Drosophila melanogaster: one gene and its partner. The protein of the gene in region 1 purifies or fractionates together with the protein of each later gene. This does not show direct contact. Each region holds a gene or a part of one and is shown on either strand. Other genes may lie near its edges.

What was found.
Region 2: the proteins of san (region 1) and CG31612 purify together in Drosophila melanogaster (affinity purification with mass spectrometry, with the first as the bait; one large-scale study listed by BioGRID). This does not show direct contact.

Annotation. Positions count from the first base shown.
Region 1 is NT_033778.4:11,354,696-11,364,774, reverse strand, and holds san (separation anxiety), read right to left. Parts: upstream 4,070-10,079; 5' UTR 3,951-4,069; coding exon 3,943-3,950; intron 3,817-3,942; coding exon 3,493-3,816; intron 3,261-3,492; coding exon 3,038-3,260; 3' UTR 2,904-3,037; downstream 1-2,903. Other genes in the region: Gr47b (gustatory receptor 47b), read right to left, coding at 1,506-1,646, 1,709-1,870, 1,934-2,875; ix (intersex), read left to right, coding at 4,690-5,256; CG12384 (uncharacterized protein), read left to right, coding at 5,772-5,817, 6,351-6,439, 6,504-6,659; iotaTry (iotaTrypsin), read right to left, coding at 7,274-8,032; CG13202 (uncharacterized protein), read left to right, coding at 8,303-8,448, 8,510-8,609; deltaTry (deltaTrypsin), read right to left, coding at 8,681-9,442. UniProt on the Drosophila melanogaster protein: N-alpha-acetyltransferase that acetylates the N-terminus of proteins that retain their initiating methionine. Has a broad substrate specificity: able to acetylate the initiator methionine of most peptides.
Region 2 is NT_033779.5:21,788,587-21,800,303, forward strand, and holds the start of CG31612 (uncharacterized protein), read right to left. Parts: upstream 6,862-11,717; 5' UTR 6,808-6,861; exon of another isoform or gene 6,660-6,807; intron 1-6,659.

The DNA of each region.
Region 1 (10,079 bases):
GAGGGAAGTGGAAAGAGGGTGGGTGTGGAGAGGCGGGCGGGTAGTGGGTCGCTGGGCGTTGTGGCGTTCGACGTCGAAGGCCTGGCTGCCAGTCTGTACGTGTGTGTATGTATGGGTGTGTGTGGGCCGTTCCTTCCCAGTGTGTGTGTGCATTTGTATGTGCGCTGCTGTATGTAGCCGTGCCGCAAAAAGAGAGTGGGTGGGGTGTTGTGGGGGTCTGTGGTGTTGTTGCCTGGAAGGGGGCGGGCTACGGGCCATGGGCTATGGTCTATGCCAGCTAGCTGGCTGGTCGGAACGGGGGGTGGCGAGCGGGGGAGAGCGGCCTACCGCCGCTGGTATAGCTGTGCTGTTGTAGCTGCTGTTGATTGTTTTTGTAGTAGCTGCCGTCGCTGTGTGTTGTTGCCTTTCGCAAATCGATAAACGATGTCCGGGCTGCGGAGTAGGCGAACGCTTTGCGTGTGCACATATGTATAACATGCATATACATGCGGCCGTCAGTATATACTACAGACATACATACATATACATATGTATGTACATACAGCTATATATGTAAACACTTCAAATATACATATGTATATACTCAGTCCATTGGTATGCGTATACCTAATGTAGGCGATTTTTATATGAACACCGCCTAACGGAGTTTTGATGCAATCTGCAACCAATACATATTTACTTAATTCTACACCCACCTGATTGACCCCCAGGAACTATTTTGTATTTTGTGTTGACCCAGCCAATTGGCATATTTGCAACATTGATTAAACCCAAACTAAAGTTTTCTAAAGACATCCATTCAATTCGAAAGATTGTACCAGCATAAGTCGCTTTGATATCAACTGACAGTATTCATATACTTAACTGTTAAATGTTATATTACTTATGTATGCATGTATGTATGTATTTGTCAAAGGATCGTTATCAACATTTAAGCGCAAAGGTGATGTATCTAATCCCCTTACATATATGTTAAAACCAAGTTCAAAAACGTTAACAAATCACAGAATAACAAAACTTCTATGTAAAGAATGTCTTGAATAATGGCCTTTTAGTAAAATTAAGCTAACTGTTTTTTTTGACCTCCACATTTGTTTCTAAAAGCTTCAATTCTGGTAATAGGATGAGATAACAAATCGATTTCTTAATCATTTCTTACTATGCATCCTTTTGAAGTCCCATTGCTGCAGGATGAGATGCTACCATTTGCGGTATCGACGAGAAAAATTTGTCATAACATTACCGCCAAATCAAAGTACCATGAGTTCTCTATCGACTTTGTGCCGGCGATCAAAATCCTCGTCGACGGATTTGAGTGGCAATCAGTACCGAAGGAGGCGCCAGGACCAAAACTGTCAAACGCCTTTATGATGATCTGAGTGTGTTTTAATTCGGAGCTGAACTATAAAGAAGTAATTAACCAAACCGTTTTATTGCAACGTGTTAAGATACGTAGTATACGTAATAAAGATAAGCTAATTTTTTTCAATGTAATTGCAACTATTTCAATCCATGTGAGTGATGGGTCCCATTGGGCCCACAATGTCCACATCTTTGCCCGATGTCAACTGGTGATCTTTGATTTGCTGTTGTTGAAATAGCAGCTGCACCAGGATAATCACATAGTTGGCCATTCCGTTGTACACCTGCCAGGATAAGTAAAAGATCAGATCAGGCAGGTTTCCGAGCGGCTCATGGTATCACCCACCAGGTAAATGGTAGAAACACTTAGCAAGGTTGTGCTGCCCACCATTGCCGCTTGCCGATTGTGCATGCGCCAATGCTGAAAGTCCTCCGTTTTCCGGCGAGCCACATCCTGTCCGGAGAAGTATCGCGAGTATTGGCTCAACAAATGCATACAGTTGCGTTTCTAGAGAAAACCAGATAGAGATGCGAAATGCAAGTTTCTGCATACGGAAATAAGGTCACCCACCTCTCGCAGAAGTAAATACCCATAGGTGCTAGTAATGACCACTTTGTAGGTGTGTATGGCCACGTGCAGCAACATGTACACGTACTCGGGATCCCAGGGCTCTCTCTCCAGCAGCTTTTGGCAGATAACGTACACGAAGCAGGTCATGATAGTGAAATCATAAAAGATACCAGCAGCTGCGGCGAATCCAAAAACTCCGTTTAACTCCGCCAGGAGAAACGAACAGCGCTTGGACATTTCGAAAAGATAAGCAATCCTTTCGTGCACCTCTGAACTGTCATCCGCTTGGTAAAGTTGGTGAAGCAGCTGCTGCACCAGACGCAGACGAACCCTTATAAAGTCCATAATACCTATGTGCACGAAACCCAGCAATCCTACGGAACTGGTCAGCAAGGTGTAGGTGAAGGCCATCAGCAAGGTGGACGGTATGCCGCATGTGCAACGCGTCGTATCGAAGATCAGTGAGATGGAAAAGGAGAAAAAGCAAAAGCCGACAATCACAGTGCCATACCAATACTTCAAGCGAGCGCGTCGATAGTTCCACTGAACATGAGGGAACACCATCAAAACGGAACGATCGAACTCTTGCATCCTAGCCACGAGTTTCAGGTGTCTGTCCTTCTGCAAGTCCAGCGAAAGGCAGTACTCAATGTAGGTGACCGAGCAACTGAGGCACTCCCAGGTGAATATTGCCTTGACCAACGGGCTAAGGTGTCCAAACATGGCAGCGGACATCTCGGGATCCCTCAGCTTAGTCATCACGGTAGCCATAAAGCAGATAACCATAAAGGAGCGCGTGAAAAGGGCATAGCACACAGTCCACCTGTTTGAAAACGCACCTCCACGATCAGGACTTCTCACCCGGATTGTGACCAATCCCCAGTAGAGCAGGAGGCTGTACAAGTTTCCGTAACAGTAGACAAAGCCATCGTCGCGTTGCATTGCCCAAGTAATGTTAGTTTCGACTGGCCAAGCCGTATAGAGCTATTTATTCCCGCGCAGGGGTAATTATTATTGATTACACATAGATATGATCGGACTAATTGAATACATCGTTTTGGCCGCCTCTACATGTCTGTTTGTTATACATATTGAAATTCATCTTTAAACAAATGTGAACTGTCGTGCTTTACTACGTGAATTTGAGTTCGCGGTGGTGCTGGTGGCGGTGCTGTTTGAGTTGGGTGCAGTGCGGCGCAGAGTCTTTTGCAGTACATGAGCGTCCGCCGGCTCGATGCGCTTATAGTATTGCTCCTTGGTGTCAACAATCTCGAAACCAAACTTCTTATAGAACTCGATGGCTCCGTTGTTGTTGATTTGCACATGTCTAAAATTATAACCAGAATTAAAAAACATGATCTAAAGTATTTTCGAAATAAACCTATTTCCTCCTTAGCCAAAAATATATATATTATGTATTAAATGGATAGATAAATAAGCCAGATAGGCCGGAATTAAACTTTCCCACTTAAATAGTTATAGGTTACATTAAAATCGAACTACATTGCTCCCCAGGGGTGTGTCGAAAACACACGAATCTTAATGATAAGTTTTCTTACAGAAAAATGCTGTCGAAGTTTCCGTCCTTCTCGGCGAAGTTCATAATGTGCTCGAACATAACTGTGCCGATGCCCAGGCGCCGGTACGGGGAGAGGCATCCTAGGGTCATGATATACAGGCGCCGCTGGTTCTCAGTGTTGTCGATGCGACAACAGACGGCGCCCACTACAATGTCGTTGTAGTAGGCCAATTTGGCCAGTTCGCCGGCCTCCAGGACGTCCACGTAAAACTTGTCATTGTAGGAGACCGGGAAAACCACGGTGTTGAGCTTCTTTAGCTGCTTGATGTTGTGGGGCGTCACGTCGCCCAGTTCGATGCTGCTCCTGCAAGCGGGAAAGGGTAGGAACATGGGTTAGCTTTTCCGACCCAAGCGGCACTTTTAGGTTATGATTCCGGTGCATCTCCTGCAGTCACAATCCTCCAATGGTCCGGCAAAGATAGCCACTCACCTAGTCATGTTGTCTGTACGATTTCTGTTGATTTAGCAACGCGCTTTGCGCCGAAAATTGTAATAGGAAAATGTGTTTTAAGCGCCTCAGCTGTTCCTGATTGTTCGGGTTGCAGGTCGCAAGTTATCGTTATCGGTTATTGACGCCGGCCAGAATAGCTATTTTATAGCAAGATAAATTTGATTTTCATATCTAAGACTACTAACTAAACTTTTTTGCTCACACTATTTTAAGCAATAAACAAAAACTAATAATTAATTAAAACAGAACTAAAAACACTCAATGCTAAATGAAACATTACACATCGTTTTTTATTTGGGATACGCATACACTAAATGAGATGACAGCTCTTTCCGGTCGGTTGACATTAGCTATCACTTGTTTGACAGTTAGAATATGAACGAACACTTTCAATAATGGCCAACTTTTAATTTCAAAACATATTGTTACCTCTACTTTTTCGTAGTGAGTTATGCTATAGATACACTTTTATGTATGTAACAATATGAAATATTGGGTAGTCCTTGTTTCTAAACTAGTTTTTTTTAAAGAATTTTTTAAATTTACAGTACAACTTTTGTATTTTTTAGCAACTCTTAGTTATATTTATATTATATTCGATATTCGCCATGGGTACGCGAACGCAAATGTGAGAAATCTCCTAACGGGTTTTTCTTCACAAAAAGAAAACAATTCGCGGCTGTTCAATATTTTTCTCCCCCAATATCCATCGATTTCGAGTGCCAAATGAATCCCAACATGAACATGATGCCCATGTCTGGGCCACAAATGATGCAGGTAATGCAATCCTCGCCATCGGGACCCCCAGGACCAGTGCAGCATCAACAGCAGCAGCCTCCACAGCCACTGCAGCAGCAGCAGCAGGCCGAAAAATTGGACAACATTTCCAGGGTGAAGAGTTTGCTGGGACCACTGCGGGAGTCCATGTTCCTCACCATCCGGTCGAGCGCCTTCGCGCTGCAGCAAAACAATCTCGCGGACAACTTAAAGAGGGACACGGGTGCCCACCATGTTCCGCGGTTCGACAAGCACTTGGAAGACTTTTACGCCTGTTGCGACCAGATCGAGATCCACTTGAAGACGGCGATGCAGTGCCTCCAGCAGCAGAACTCCTCCAATCACTATCTCCCCGGTCCGGTGACTCCCATGCGCATGGAGACCTTTATGCCGGACAACGCCGGCCCCATTTCGTATCCCACTTACTTGAACACGGTCCGCGTTCACATACAGTCCGCCAAGGATATACACGACACTCTGATTAGTGCCGCGCAGAACATTTCGCAGGCTGATTGATAGTTGTAGTAGCATTAGGTTTTATTATTTCACACGCATGCACTTAAGTTAAGTAAATAAATATTCTTAGATATAAGATAACAATGATCTTTGTTTGGGAAAGTCGAAATGGTGTTACCATACTCAACGTTTTTACAGGCGGAAGAGTAAAAGGGAAAATAATAAAATAAATATAGCTTGTGGGCATTAGTTTGCATACAGAAAACATGTTACACAAAAACATCGAGCAATAAAATAAATTCTAGTTGTATTTCGTGTACCACTATTTGTGAAAATGTTTGCAGTGAGAACGCGTTGCAGCAGTCGATGAGTAACTGCGCATCCAGTGAGAAAAGGCTAAAAATTCGATAGACAACAGTCGGACGTGTCACAATTAGAACGCAAAAGCAAAACACAGCGGTGCCGCGCATTTATTTACAACTAGAAAAGCGGTAAGGTCTCATTTTGTTGTTAACTGTGCACAAGCCGTTAATTTATTCAACTTCTCCGACCCTCAGCTTACTAAACCAGAACAAATGGCAGATGAACAACCAAATCTTGTGGCCGGACACCCACCTGCATGTAAGTGCACTTGCATTGGTGTGTGTGTGTCGATGCAGACGAGTTTTCGATTTTTGGCAGCAATTGAATCTTATAAGAACAAACTGCCTTGTTGGCAATCAATAATGCACCCAATCAAATCAATTGCCAGAATATCTGCGCCCTTATCAGTATCTTAACCTGTTTCGGCCAAAGCTGATAAGTAAACAAATAAGCGAACACAGGCAAGCAAACGCATAGCTTTCAAGAAATGTATGTTTGTATTTGTACTTTATGCTGACGTCACGTGCAATTCAAACAATAACGTTAACTGAATAGGAAATTATTACTTTTTAAAGTAGCTTTTTACGCCTTATATTTTATCCTTAACGTTTATAAAATGCCATTGACTTAATCATCTTCGTACAATGTAAATAATAACATGTCAACTTTGGACGACTAGTATGGCTTACTTACTTTTTAATAGCCGCTTTACGTAAACACGGCTTGAATCGGCTACTGTGGCCAAGCCTCATTTGTTGCCAACCCTATATGTTTTTGTTATTTAATTATAGTGAAGGCTGGTGGCATGCGAATTGTGCAGCACAAAGCGCCGACGGCAGAACGCGCGCCCAAGGATGCAGAGGATTGTACTGGACTGACAGTGAGCTATTGACATAAGTATGTGGTTTTCAATGGAAACTAACTTATCCTCTAATCCTTTAAAGCAACCCATTGCCGTGAACTCCGGCTCTGTGAGCGGTGCCCCCGTCAAGGGCAACACGGACTTTACGCCCGCCTCCGCCCAGGTGGCCCACTCGCCCAAGCCACCGGCTGCAGTGCAGCAGAAGCCCCAGATCCACATCCAGCAGCCACGGAAGTGATGCGTACTCGGGCGGAATAACTATTATCATTATCTAATCTCTTTGATCTTTTGTTGAAATTCTATGAGTCCTCTCAATGGTATTGAAATCGCCTTTGAATGCGATATTTACTCTTTAATTTTATATATGCATTTGCCACTGCATTCCATAAATTAAAAATGCTGATTTTCTGAGTTAATATTTTGTAATAAACTTTATCCCTTTTATAGATTTCAAGACATTCGTTTCGAATGCGTATATCTTAAATTTTTACCTAAACCAACTCGTGGTGTTCCTGGTGAGCTTGGATGCGATAAAACATTGACCAAAGAAGACATATAACACTATACATGAAATTCGTGATTTCCGATGTTATCTATATTGCCCTCAGATCTACTGGAATTTGCTCTACACGTACTCTTAAAATTCCCAAGTGCTTATTCAGCACAACGTGTATATAATTAGGGAAACTCTAGCACACTAAATGCCCCACTGAACTTCGGTGGTCCGGGGTGCGGACTTCAAATCCGTAGTCGATTTGCGTCGAAGTGGTTCGATTCCACCTGGGGGGCGAATATTAATGGAGTTGCATTCTTAAACTTTTTTAAGCATGGTCTTTATTTTCCAAAATCTGTTCATATGGCATTGGCCGCCTTGACTATCCAAGGTCGCAGAATCGCCACATCGGCATAGACACCGGGGTAGTTGTCGTCCGCACACCGGTAACCCCAGGATACAATGCCCACCAGCTGGCTACTGGCCACCAAAGGACCTCCAGAGTCTCCCGTACAGGCATCTGCATCAGTGCTGGCAGCGCAAATTGTTTCCTCGCCCACAAAATCCGCACCGTAGCCAAACTTTTGCGAGGCACACTCTCCGCGATCGATGATCTGCAACTGGGCCTTCTGCAAGCTATCGGAGAGGGCTCCATTATCAGTGTGGCCCCAACCCGTGACAGTGACTGTTGTTCCACCCGATGGACTCGTACTGGCTAAATTGATGGCTCTCGTTGAGAGGCCAAAGGTCAGTGGTGTGGACAGACGAAGCACGGCAATGTCGTAGTGCAGGAAGCGGGAATCAAACTGCTCGTGGACTTTGTACGCCGCCACAGGAACCAATGTGCCGCCGTAGTTGTGATTCTGTGCACCCACACGCACCTTCATCAGCGTCACGGATCTCTCATGTAGACAGTGTCCGGCTGTGATGATGATCTCCTTGCTATAGATGACTCCGCCGCACTCGTGGCGCGCACTGATCTGAATAGACACCTGCCAGGGGGCGTTACGAATCAGCTGATCGCTTCCGCCAATAATTCGTCCAGTGGCCTCGACATCTGACGCATCGCCGAGCAGCAAAAGGACCAGCACCGTAGCCACTATTCCGTAAACAGCCATTCCGAAAGCCAAGTGCAAACTGCTCGTATTTGTCCACGAAACCCCTTCATGGCGTGCTTTTTACTAGGGCTGTAAAAGTTAATCTTCGGCTAATTGATGGCTTATCGTTAGTATATATTACTGATACCCTTGATTGGTCTTGGTCAGCACTGCTCCTTACCCGGTTCTCTAGTTCGATATGAAAACACGTTGCCCAGGCAACTATTGCCAAACAAATTTATTTAGATGTTGTGAATATCGAAAAAAGGACTTTTGAGAGATAATACCGACATGGATAACTGGAAGATAACCGCGGAGGAGCTTATCCGTCTGCGGGAGAGCTGCTTGCAGTGCATCCGTGATGGAGAACTCTATGAACTGCGCAACGATGCCAAACTTAGGGCTGTTTATAGCACTCAGAACTACGAAGAATTCAAGTAAGCAATACAAATAAACATGTCTCAAATTGAAAAATGCATGTAAGCCAATTGCCATCAGGAACATAGTGGATGCGGCTCATCTTCGTCCAGTGACCAAGGGCGACAAGGCGAATTTTAAGACGAAGAATCGACTATGGAACTCGGCGGCCCGGGATTAATTTGTTAATTGCGCAATAAAAATAAAAGACCAAGTTTATAGTCAGAATATACGTTTTATTTCGCACACTTTTTAGGCATTGCTAATAACCCAGGAGCGGAGGGCAGCAACATCGGCATAGACACCGGGGTAGTTGGAGTAAGCGCATCCGTATCCCCAGGAGACAACACCGACGAGGACTCCGCCGGAGACCAGTGGGCCACCGGAGTCACCCTGGCAGGCATCCTTGCCGCTGGCAGCAGCGCAGATCATGGTGCTGCGGATCTGGCTACCGTATCCGTAGGTGGAGGAAGCACACTGGCTCTGGCTAACGATGTTCACGTTCACGTACTGCAGCTGGGAGGGGATGGAGCTGGATCCGTAGGAGAGAGTGCCCCATCCGGAGACGGAGGCCGCAGCGCCGTTGGCGGGGTTGGAGCTAGCCAGACCGATGGCCTTGATGGTGGAGCTGAAGGTCAGGGCGCCGTTGATCTTGATGATGGCAATGTCGTTGACCATGGTGTTGGCGTTGTAGCCCTCGTGGTTCTTGAAGGAGGACACAGAGAAGGTGACACCGCCGGAGCTCCAGTAGCTGGATCCAGCACGGATCTGCAGGACGGAAGCGGACACGGACTGCAGACAGTGAGCGGCGGTCACGATGACGTTGCTGGAGTAGATGGATCCACCGCAGGAGTGGCTTCCACTGCGCTGCAGGGAGATCTGCCAGGGGAAGCTGCTGATGGTGGTAGCAGAGCCGCCGACAATGCGGCCATCCAACTGAGGCAGGAGTCCCTCAGGGACGGTGCCTCCCAGGGCGCAGGCTACTGCAGACAACAAGATCACGAACTTCAGCATGGTGCGAATCCAATGAGTTGACTCTAAACTGGACACCCCTTTTATACAGGGACCTATCTCTTTGTGGCGCTCTTATCATAAATTTCAATTATTTTTATCACTTGCTTGTCAGGGAAATCCAAAATATTTTTTAAATGTGTGACCGACAAATAGATTTCGCGAATAAGAAGTATATACGTATACAAAGTCCAGATTCATGCCAAACGATTTTTTTTTGCAATAAGTTGGTCATTTAAATAGCTTGAAAAAGATAGTCACATAAAGATATCGGGGTTTAAACGAAATTAAAACAATTTATATTTCTATAAACAATTTATTGTGTTTTAAATAAACAGACACCATAATTTTTTAAAAGAAATTATATAACTTATGAGAAACATCATGAGCATTACTAGAAAACAATGCAATTGAACGCATAATCATGTAATTAAAATTAATGCAAAGGCGATTAAATTGTTCTTAAAATTAATGGTTTTACAAAATTCACAAATTAAAATGCTAAACAGTTATTTTCTTTTAAAAAGCCAATAATATTAATAGTTATGCACACAATTATGTATAATAATTGGATTAGATTAGAACTAAATCAAGTTGAATGACAAGCATCCACTTTTAAAAAATTCCACAATGTTATTGT
Region 2 (11,717 bases), on another chromosome or scaffold:
TTTATCTCATTAAAAGATGTATTTGTCTGATATCAGAAGTTAAAATTAATTTCAAATTGTTATCTAAACTTCTTAATGCTATAACTGAAAACAGTTCGAATGAACTATGTGTTATCAATCATAGTTGGGGAATGTAAGGAGCGGTATAGTTGAAAATTTAAATTATATTGTAATTGTATTATTACTTTGGCCTAAAACTAAACAGTATTTTGTAAAGCTTTATAACAGTGTTGGAAAATAAGAAAAAGGACAGGTTTCCGGACAATAGGATGGGTCATTTTTTCCGCAAGATTAACGTTCTTTAAAAGATTGCAATTCATTGAATTGATATACTTTAGTATATCATACCTATTTAAGAAGTGGTTTTCTTTCATAAATAATGCGATAAATAATTATTGCCTCGCTTACCAAATGACGCCCTATTCAAAGAATTCAATGTCGCAAAACCTACATTTATTTACCCGCGCGGATCCAGCTTAAACAACAGATTCCGATGGGCTTGCACAATTCGATGGGCTTGGGGACATAAACAAAATATCAGGTGAGCCTTTGTGGACGACAAATTAATGAGAAGCTCATTAACGTACTGAGTACGGATTACGGATTTGATTGAAGGTCCTTTGGGCTCAAGTACGCCCACAGACGCAGTCAGGTTAAATAAACTGACAAGTTACACACATCGCCACTGGCTGGAAACATTCATATATACACATGTGTACATATAAATACATACATATATCTCGCCCCTATTTGCAGTGCGCAACGCCAACAACAGAGCGGGAATATTCAGCGAAAAGTGTCATTATGTGTACACACAACGTAAAACGACTCCACCTACAAAAACTCCTCCTTCCAGAACATCCGGATCCGAAAGCCAACAACGGCAACGAACCGACGGCGCAAACAAGGAGAAAATGTGTACATACAACAATCTCGTTATGTCGGCATTATCCTGAAGAATTCTGGTTCGTCCTCGTCACTTGCAGCGCCATAAATCACTCACACGCTTGGCCCATTTCCCCCTGTCGCTCTGTCCCTTTCACCCGCTATGTGTGTCTTTTTCTGGCCTGCTCTGTCTATCACATTGTTGTTTGTTTTGTGTCCCAGTGTGTTTTTGTGCGTTTGTATGTGAGAGGCGCGTGCCCCGCTCTGATGTCGTCCTGCTTACACATAGACGTAGTGCCTTTTTTTAGTGGAATCTTTCCAGCGATTAAAAACTTGAATACACTGAAAATAAAGTCAGGTAGATTATGTAGGGTTGATATTATGTATGATGATATTATTACTGTTTAAATGTAAGCTTACTTCGCTCAAATATTATTAAAAAATTTTTAAGGGAAACTTAAGGGTATTTACAAGCCCAACAGTATTTTTCCGACATTCGCACATTTTTGTTGTTCAGCATTTTTATCCCTTGGTTTGCCAGTAATTCACCCCGCGGTGACATTTTGGTGTGACAGACAAGACGTGTCCTTCGTCCTTTTTGCATTTTTCTCTGTCGGGTGTCTGTGTATGTGGTAAGTTTATCGTTTTAAATGTTGATACAAGCCCGGGTTGTGGTCCGCTGCCTGTCCTTAGCCCAGTCCGCATGGGGATAATAGGATGTTGAGTAAATATTTAAAAACTCCCCTCGCCCACTCGGTTCTAACGGCACATACCCCTCGGGCTATTGAGGAATCGTAGGCGACCTCCAAAGTTTGGGGCTAAAACTTTGCCGGCTGTGCCCGCTCTTTTGCGATGGGCGAAAAAGTTTAGGGGGTGTGAAGCAAAACGAGCCGACGCTGGCACCCTCTAATCCAGTTTTTGGCCCCGACTCTTCGGCCAGGACACTTTCTGGCATAAATCATTTGCATTCAAAATGAGACCAATGAGGAAAGCCTGCGAATGAGCGTCGAAGATGAATGCCGCAGAAACAACAACAGCACCACCAAGGGGCCGGAAAAATCCTTTCAATTTTCGCACACATTCAATTTTATTAATTAAAACAATTTTTTCTCCCTTTCTCTTAGCTTCTTTTTCTGTTTGTGATTGGAGGAGCTTGGGCAATTAATTCCAAACATTCAGGACGCTTTTTCTTTGTTAAGTTTCGGCATTTTTTGTAGTGTTGTTTGTTTTGGGCGCAAATTATACTCCGCTTGCCTTGCGCGAAATAAAATATCACAAACAGGGGCAGCCTCCATAAATAATGGGAATTTATGCCAGTTCCAAACATACGCACCCGAACAGCCTCATAGACCTGAAACAGAAAAGGCAAAAACCAACATTTCCTCCGAAATTACCATTCAATCATTTTGTAATTGCCAGCTCCAGAAAAAAAAAGAAATAGGTTCTAGATATCTTACTTCATTTATTTGGGCCAGTTCTTAATTTCGCCCATCTGTTCTAATAAGCCTTTCACTCCATTTCATTTTGCATTTAAATTGGATGCTTTTTCATTACGGTTATTCAAGAAGTAGCCCAAGGAGATTCAAGTTCATTGATTTTAATACCTGTTACTCGTAGAGTTAAAGGGTATACTAGATTTGTTGAATTGGAGCGATTCCCTGTAAGGTGTCCATAATTATTGATCAGGATCAGTAACCGAGATCTCGGGAACTATTAAAGCCAAAAGCATCCAAATTCTAGTGGCGCCCACGTTGTGCAACCGCGTTTTAGAAACTAAACTAAACTGTCACGACCATACTTTGTTGTGTCTTATCTTTTATTGTTTGTCTTGTCAATTTCCATCATTGAAAAAATGTGTGCATTTTTTTTATTTTACTTGGCCAATTTTAAATTTTTTCGCTTTGACTCCCACTATTTGAGAAACGGGTATCTGAGAGTCGAGAGACTCGACTGTAGAGTTTTCACTTGCCTTGTATAAAATAAGAAACAAGTGAGTCGGCTGTTAAATACCCACTACTCTTCCGAAAATACAAATCCCATGTCTAGAGGCTTGTTTAGATTATGTTTTGATTTTATTTAAATCAATGTTGTGGCTAAGGCAACAATTGACCGCAAGAAAATGAGCATGGATTTGTAAGTGTGAGAATCGGTGTAGCATTACCAGTATCTGCACGTTCTCTAAAAAAAAATCTTGGTGTATAATTGAGTAATATGCTTTGATATGCTTTCATATTAATTCTGTTTAAATCAAGATATAATTATAATCTTAAAGCTAATCGTAAATATATAAAAGTATTAAAATGTATAAGGCAACAAAATATATAAATCGCTGACATTTTCCAGAATATCCGCTGGGCGCCAAATCTCATTTGGACAATTTTGCAATTTTAATCAGCTATCTTTATATCTGCACGGGGGTTGGCCTGAAAGACAAGACCCCATTCAGACACTTTCGCTTTGTTTTTGTACGGCTCCCTTGCTGCTGTCCGTCATAAATCTATCAAGTTTAATGGCCGCCTCAGCGCTGCACATAATTTTATGTATTTTATGCTGCAAATTGTTAGCCAGCGCGCACACAAACACAAATCAGAAGGAACAACCCTCGGAGAGCCACCCAGCCCAAGAAAAACCCCTACCCACCCACCGTACGGATCCACCCCAGAGGAAAGGCGAAGACGAGAACACGAATTTCCACGCACATCTCCGAAGACTCACAAATTTCATAAAGTGGCAATTCAATCAATCAATTCTGACAGGGGGTGGCCATTGGGGTGGACTGCACCCAGTCTTGGCCACCTTAACCGTTATGCTCACGTACACAATCACACAACTCAAACTGATTTTGCTACGGATTGGAGAAGTTGGAGTGGGTGAAAAAAAAAAAACACGAGTGCTTTGGAGGGAAAAACAAAAGCGAGGGAAGTTTTCTTAAAATTCCCTTTGTCTTGTTTTTAACAGCCCCGCTTTTTCGGGGCAGTGTTTTGCTTCGAAGGCAACGGACTTGTCAGTCATTTAGTAAGTTTAGACCCAAGACCTCTGGCAGCTTAAATATATTTTTAATTGTCTACCGAGGGGCGCCCTCATCCACCCGTCTAAAAACACCACCCTTCTTGTAGGCATTTCCAGGATTCGCAGCTCTCCTGTTATCCTATATTATTTGCGTTTCTGATTCGCTTCTGCTTTGTTGTCCGCTTTTCGTCCTTGCTATTGTCAATGTCTTGGGCATAGGATACATTTTGAAAATAGAAAAGAGCATGAAGGACATGGTTGACAGGGTCGTTTAAACAGATATGTCCTTTGCGAAAGTACATGGAAGATAACGTCTTGGTAGAAATAAAATTCTATTAATTTTTATTTTTATTTTTATTAATTTTCTTTTATATTTTTCAACTAATTATTTTATATTATGTTGTTATTTTTTTCAACTAACTAAGATGTTATCTTATATCTTCCATTTCTAAAAATTTCAGAACTTGAATTAACTAACTCCTAACTTCTGAGAGGAACGATGGCCAGTGAGCGTGGCCAATCTGACACGGAATTGAGTGACATTTCAATGGAGTTTGGTGAGTGAGTGAGACAAGGAATAGCCATTTCTTCATTGTTGTATTCACTTTGGTTCGGAAACTGGCCCTGCGCAGAAGTTTCGTAAAAATGCTGCTCTACAAAACAATAAATCAGCGACAAATTTTGCAATTTAGAATTTAAATGTTTTCGATTACCAATCGAATACATTTCAATACATTAATTTTAAGTCATTTTTTATGAGCTCCTCAAATGTTCATCGGCTTACAGGGCACCTTACCTTCCAATTTGTATATACGTATGTATGTATTTATGGCCAAACTATTTTCCATCCGATCTTTGGTTAATATTTTTACCCGTTACTACTTAGTTTATATTTCTTTCGATCGATATGTCAGAAAAATGTTGAAAATTCTAATTCGCACTTTTACCAGCTTTGTACCTTGACTATAGGCTGGCTTAAATTCGTTCCATGCAAAAGTCCGTTTTATTAATTTCCAAATAGACCAAAGAGGATATATGTTTGCGTTTATGTTTAGGGCTCCTTTTAGAAATAGTTTGGATATATGAAAACATTTTGAAACAAGGAAATTCCTTAAAAAATTTTGTTTTTTATGTTTTATAGCTTTTACATACATAAAAAAATTGTTTTTGCATATTGATAAAAGTTGGAGAAAGAAAAAGGGAAAATAAGAACAAAAGAAAATGCTATAGTCAAGTTCCACTACTATCAGATTAAATGTCATCATTTTTTTGTCATAGCGATATTTATTATATCGATTTTGGCAAATAAAATGAGAAGATATGACAAAATTGTTCTAATATGTTGTCCTGGCCGTTTTGTGCGTTTTGTAGGTAGTTAGGAGGGGCGTAAACAAAATGTTTTTGGTACAAAGAATCTATAAAAATTGGCAATTGACATTTCTATTACAATGTCTCTAGAATCTGTATGCTTAGTCTCCTGATCTCGACGTTTATAACGACGGGCATATGTATATGGCCAGATCGACTGGGCTATCAATGAATGATACATATGTACATATATTGATACATATGTATCAATGAATTAAACCTGATATAATAGCAAATACAGCTCCTATAGATAACACATAATGAAAATGAGCTACTACATAAGTATCATCTATAATAATATCTACTTATGAATATGTACATATATTCTTTCAACGAATCTAGTATACCATTTTACTATAAGGGCAGAAAACTGAAAACATTTTGTAAAAGTGTGGGAGTAAATTTTTTGGCGGTTTTGTGGACGTTGACGTGGGCTCGGCAACATTCTGCAAAAACCTTGATAGCTAAAAATTTCGGCTTTTTTAGTTTCCGAAGTCTCGACCATCAAACGGACCAACTCTTCTCTCTATGTCCTTTTTAAACAACAAGTAATAGGTGTAGAAAAAAACAAGTTTTCCGTGTAATTGTTTATTTAATAATATATTATCCTAGGGAGATGCAATCCTAGTAACATTTTTTGAATAGCAAAGAATAATATTTTAAATCATGTACATGTACGTTAAATGTTTGAAAAAACTTAACAAAAGTGAATTTTTTCGTTACTATGTATTCGTCGACGCATTGTTGGTTTACCTTTATTTTTTATTTCATTTTATTTTCTTCCGATTTAATTTGTAAAATGATTAATTTTTTCAGAAATGGCGACAAATGGAATTAAATTTGTTTCTCCCATAAAATTCGAAGTAACTCATCCATCTTTCGAAATCACTCAAACATGCGAGAGCGAAACAGAAACCGGTCGCGCTCTTGTGCTCACGAGACAATAACTGTTCTTGCTCTTTCGCTTGTCGAATTTTCGAAAACAGTCTGTGGACAGAGGCGTTCGGATGAGGGTCTCGAACTAGGAAATTGTTACAAAATATATGGTAACATTTCGCTAATAATAAACAACGAAATATTTATTTATTAGTTCTTAAACGTACTCACAAAACATAGGTACCATATCAACCACTAATAGATTCTTTCAAGTTGTTAGCTTACACGAAAATGTTTTAACCCCCTCTTGAGATGTACGCCACTGACCCTACAAACCGCAAAACAGCTGATTTTTGTCGGTATGCAAGCAAACCTTTAATTAATGACAATTTAATGGCCAAAAGCAACCAAAATGTATTTACCAAACAATAATTCCATAGTATTTACCTTAGTTCAAGTCGAAACATAAATATGTTCATTTTATTTTATAATTTTGGGGTATACATATGTATATTACGAACCTGTGGATCGGAGTGCAAGTAGCAAGGTTGGATTAGAGGAAATAGTTTTTTCTCATCAAAGCAGAGCTTAAACACTGTTGCTGATGCGTATTTTCATTTAAATTCGATAGAACAAACTGTAAAACACAGATAATAAAACATAATTCACAGCGCACTTTTCACCAGCAAGCGTACGACGCACGCGACGAGTTGCTTCTCCCACAAGAAGTTCGAAATTCGAAATCGTTTGTGCAACTGAGAGAGAGAAGTTCGAATATTTGAGTGGTTTTTAAGTTCGAAAAACACCAGAGATTTCTGATTAGGGGGTAATTTACTTACAATTTTTTTTGATTGGACTTCGTGATCTTTTTCATATATACATTTATCGAGCTATAATTCCTAACGGTTAAGGTCTATTGGGGTCTCGAGGTTAATACGAACGGATAGATTGAGATGGCTATTGATCTTAATAAAGAATATTTGGATCGGTTCTGTCTAGTTTTTTTACTCAACTCTTTTTTACTTCTTATTTAAATATTTTAAGGTGTAGAATATGTTTCGCAGTTGTGTCTCATCGTTTGTGTCCCAGATATGTATGTATTTACAGCTGTGTTCAATAAAATAGCAGTGCGAGGGAAACTAAGAAATACAAAGGTATTTTCCCTTTTTGGAATCGACTTTTTATTTCACTTATTTTTGTAAAATGGAATGTGTATATAGGAATAAAAAGAAAATCCCAATAGTTTTTCATGTTATCCTTTTCTGCTTAAATTCTTGAGCAAATTCACAACTTTTATGCTGTTCATAAGAATAGCAGTGTCTGGTTTTGTCCAACGTAAAGTCCCGAAAATATCAATATTTTCTAACGTGTGTTTGGTTCGTATATTTAAAAGAGCAATAATTAAAAAAAAAATAAATAAAAAATATTGTATATTATAGTAGATAGAGAAAGAAAAGAATGTTAATTCACCAATCAAAGAAAACATTTCACACATATTCTGCCTTCAGTTGTGTCCATAGAAATCGGGGACACAAGGCAAATCCATTTATATTGCGAAATCAAAACCATTTTTCCATGTCATTGGAATCCTCCACTAGAGGTGAACTAATTGCGTGTTCAGCGCAAAATCTTTTCGATTTATCGCCTCAGGTTGATTTTATGCTTCACATAGACACCACACAGCCGCTGCACATCCACATATTGATGCAGCATCCAAAGGACCGAAATGAGAGGTGGGCTCCAGAGGGCAACGGAGCGAATACCCGCTGATTTATACGCTTCAATCCCACATTTTTGTTTCTTCGGCTGCCATTTAGCTAAAATATTTCATATCCGAATTGCATCGCCGTCTCGAGCCTTCGCTCCTTCGTCTTCGTTTGGCTGCCAGGCAGAAGACTAGAGCGGGACGCACTGATGGCAGAGAGTGGGAGCGAGAGGGTACGCAATGGACAGCCGCTTCCCCGTAATTATGCGATTTGTTATTCGAGATTTGAGGCGATTGTGACTGGGCACCATGTAGGCGAGGAGGCGCTGAAGAAGCAGCAGTTCCACCGAGAAATGATTTAAACTGCGATTTCAATTCTGGCATTTCTGATTCGCCCAGTGTCTGTGTTGCAACTTGAGGCCCTCCCATACCATCTCCACAATCCGCCGCGCGGACCCCGGACACCGCAAGCTGAATTCGACACGCCAAGATCTGAGTATCCCAAATGATAATGCTGCGGCCATTGCATGTGCGATGGGCAGTCAGAGTCGGACGGGCGGACTGACTCCGGACCAACGGACAACATCCATTCGCTGACTGACTGACGTACTTGGGGGCTGACTGATATGGGTGGAACCAAAAGGCTCACAGAGCGGCGAAGTCTTCTTGCTGGACGCCCTGCAGCAGACATTATAGCCAACGAAAAATATTGGTTATATATTACAGTTTCTCAATATTTTAGTCAGATTCCGAAACCAAGCGAGAAAAACGAGTCATCGCTACCCTACATCAGGACAGTAAATATATGTAAGTATACTAGATTGTAAGTGTACTAGATAAGAATGTAGAATCAGTTTTAATCAAATGAAGTATATCTTGTGCCCTTCGTACACCCCGTGGAGCACGACTACAGCGTTCGCTCTTGTACAGTAAAAGGGTATACTACAAAAGATTCGTTGGATGAAGAAAGCATTTTCGACTATATAAAGTATATAAATTATTGATCAGGATCAATAGCCGAGTCGATATAGTTATGTCCGTCTATCCGTATGAACGTCGAGATCTCAGGAACTATAAAAGAGAGAGCATACAGATTCTAGACCCAAAGCCGCAGCGCAAGTTTGTTGACCCATGTTAGTGGCTTACGCCCACAAGCCGCACAAAACGAAATTTCGAAATTCGAAATTTTTCCATAAATTTATAAGTCTTAAAAATTTCTATCGATTTGCAAAAAATGTTTGCCATGGCTTTAACGCCCAAAAGCCGCCGATCCGCTCACGCCTACACTTTTGAACAATTTTATAATTTGTTCTCATTTTATTTCCCAATATCGATACCGATATTCCAGAAAAATTATAAAATTTCGCGTTTGGATTCACACTAGCTGAGTAACGGGTATCTGATAGTCGGGGAACTCGACTATAGCCTTCTCTCTTGTATTGAATTAAATTGATATCTGCTAATAAAACGCAATAATAAAACTAAAGAAAATCCCCGTTTTAAGAATATGAAAGTTCCCTACATTCTAAAAAATCTGGGTAATCCATAAGTCAATGGCAAATAATAACAATAAAAGTTTTTCCCATACCCAAATGCTATATGTAAGTTAATCTGTTTAATTTAATCGCTTCATATGTTGTTTAAAGCCAAGTATTTAAAAAATATATAAAAAAAATTAAAACTAAATTAAAAATCAAGCACCGGCATTTTTGCTTGAGTGCTTGACCTTGTGTGCGATCTACCGCTGAGTGTTGGCCGGGCTTGATTGCATGGCCTTCGTCTTCGTCTTGGTTTTGGGCTTAGTCTTCATCTCCATCGCCGTCCATCGGCATCGTCCATCTTGGCCGGAACATTGTCAGTTGGTTTCGGTCTGGCATTGGGGCTTGGATAGGGGCTGGCTTTCTGAGATTCGTTAGCTCTGGGAGCAGAGACTTGAGGGCATAAATCACTCTCGTGGCTGGACGATCGCGGATCGAGCGTTGAAGGGGAGGGTTACGGTCCCCACTTCCTTCAGATGCTTCTTCTCCCGTTGATTAATAATTAATTTGTGTTGCCTGTTGCCAGTGATTGCCTGCGGTTGCGTTGTCTCTCGCTCAGCTCACCTGACGACCTGACTCCTTTATAATGAACGGTTTGTGCACCAGTGTGAGTGTGTGTGCTTGCGACTGTAGCAGGACATTCGTCGTACATCATCCCATCCCAAAATGCGCGCCCAGTGCTCGTCGTTCGATGCCCGGCCTGATTGCTTTAGCTCACTGGTTGCTCCTCCAGTGCATAAATTCGCTGACTCCGAGCTGGTTCAAAGGAAGTACAAAAGGAAGGAATACTCAGACGGCAGCGGCATAAATTAAGCGAATGGTGTTTATACACTCGACAATAAATCAATTAGCAAATTTGTTATTATTATGTTCATAAATCTTCACATCCACTGAAATCCACGATTAAAATATTTTGAAATGCTCGAACAGCACCAGAGGATCACTATTTAGTGATCGCATCTCGGATCTTCATTGTGCAGGCTTCTAAAAAGATGAGAATTGGTGGGCGTGGAGCGACTAGCTGTAGCATGCAAGCGAAAATCGCTGACTTACTTCGCAAAAAGGGCCTGATAATTACTAAAGCGTTCATTTCCTATATCATTTATCATATATTTTTGAAATATGAATTATATAGACAATTGAAGTTGGTAATATTTTTTTAAATTCTGTCAATTTTCAGTTGTGTGGCTTACTCAGTTTCTGATTAACAATCAATCAATTTCGCGTGCGCCATCTACTGCTGCTCCGATGAATGAATCGACTTTCGGCCTCGCATGCGTCACTTAAATTCAGACAGGTGACGCCCACAACTTCTGTGCTTATGCGCCATTATTAACACGTCATAACTTAGCACCAACCGCAGCCATAAAGGTTATCGAGGGAGGAAACCATCGGGCCACTTAGTCTTCGCCAGGCTCCAAAAGTTGCCATCAATCAACGCGGAAAGTCCGTCCAAAGGATAAGCAAATGACGGGATGCAAGTGAGTCCTCCAAAGGGACGACAGGTGCCAGGTGGCGGGATGTAAGGGGCAAGACCCACCTCAACCCAAATGCCGCTTATTTATGCAGAGCGCGCGGGATGGGCGAAGCCGCAAAGTGATTTTAAATGGGACCCATACACCAAAACACTGAAACACCGAATCACCGAAGCTCTGAAACCATGAATCCGGAGTCACAGGCCGTCAAAGCTCTGTTGATGTAGTCGTTCTCGGGATGTTGTCCATGGGAGCTCGGCATACTGGGTGAGCTGCCGTTGCCGGGCCATTAAAACACGTTGTCTAAAAAGAAAACAAAGTGCAGCCACATGGTTAACTTTTCCATGCGATTGGAGAACACAGTTAATTGAAAAGAGTAGCAAAGACAGAAAAAAAGGGATATGTATTAATTTACGGCTACGATAAACCCAGATTAGTTTTACGTCTTTATCATGTGTGGATAATTATACAGGCTTATCTGTAAATTATCTGTAATAATCTGTAATATCTGTAAGCAATTTTATAATACAAAACATGAAATTGAGACTGTAAACAGTATACGCATCAACAACATTATTGATTTACGAATTGATCTTTTCAATGGAATAAGCACAAGAACCACATTTTGTATTGCGGTTTCATAACTCTGGCTAATACCTTAAATAGAGCTCTAGGATTCCACACAAAACAAGGACACTTGATAGTGGTACAAGCAAAGACACTAGAAATAAGATGCTTTCCAACTATATGTGCAATTTTCTCAGCCAAAATAGCAAAGGAAGAGATATAACGAAATCATAACGTTACAAAGGACTTTTGTCTGGCAAAATTAAACGAAATATGCTTTGTCTTCCGCTAGCT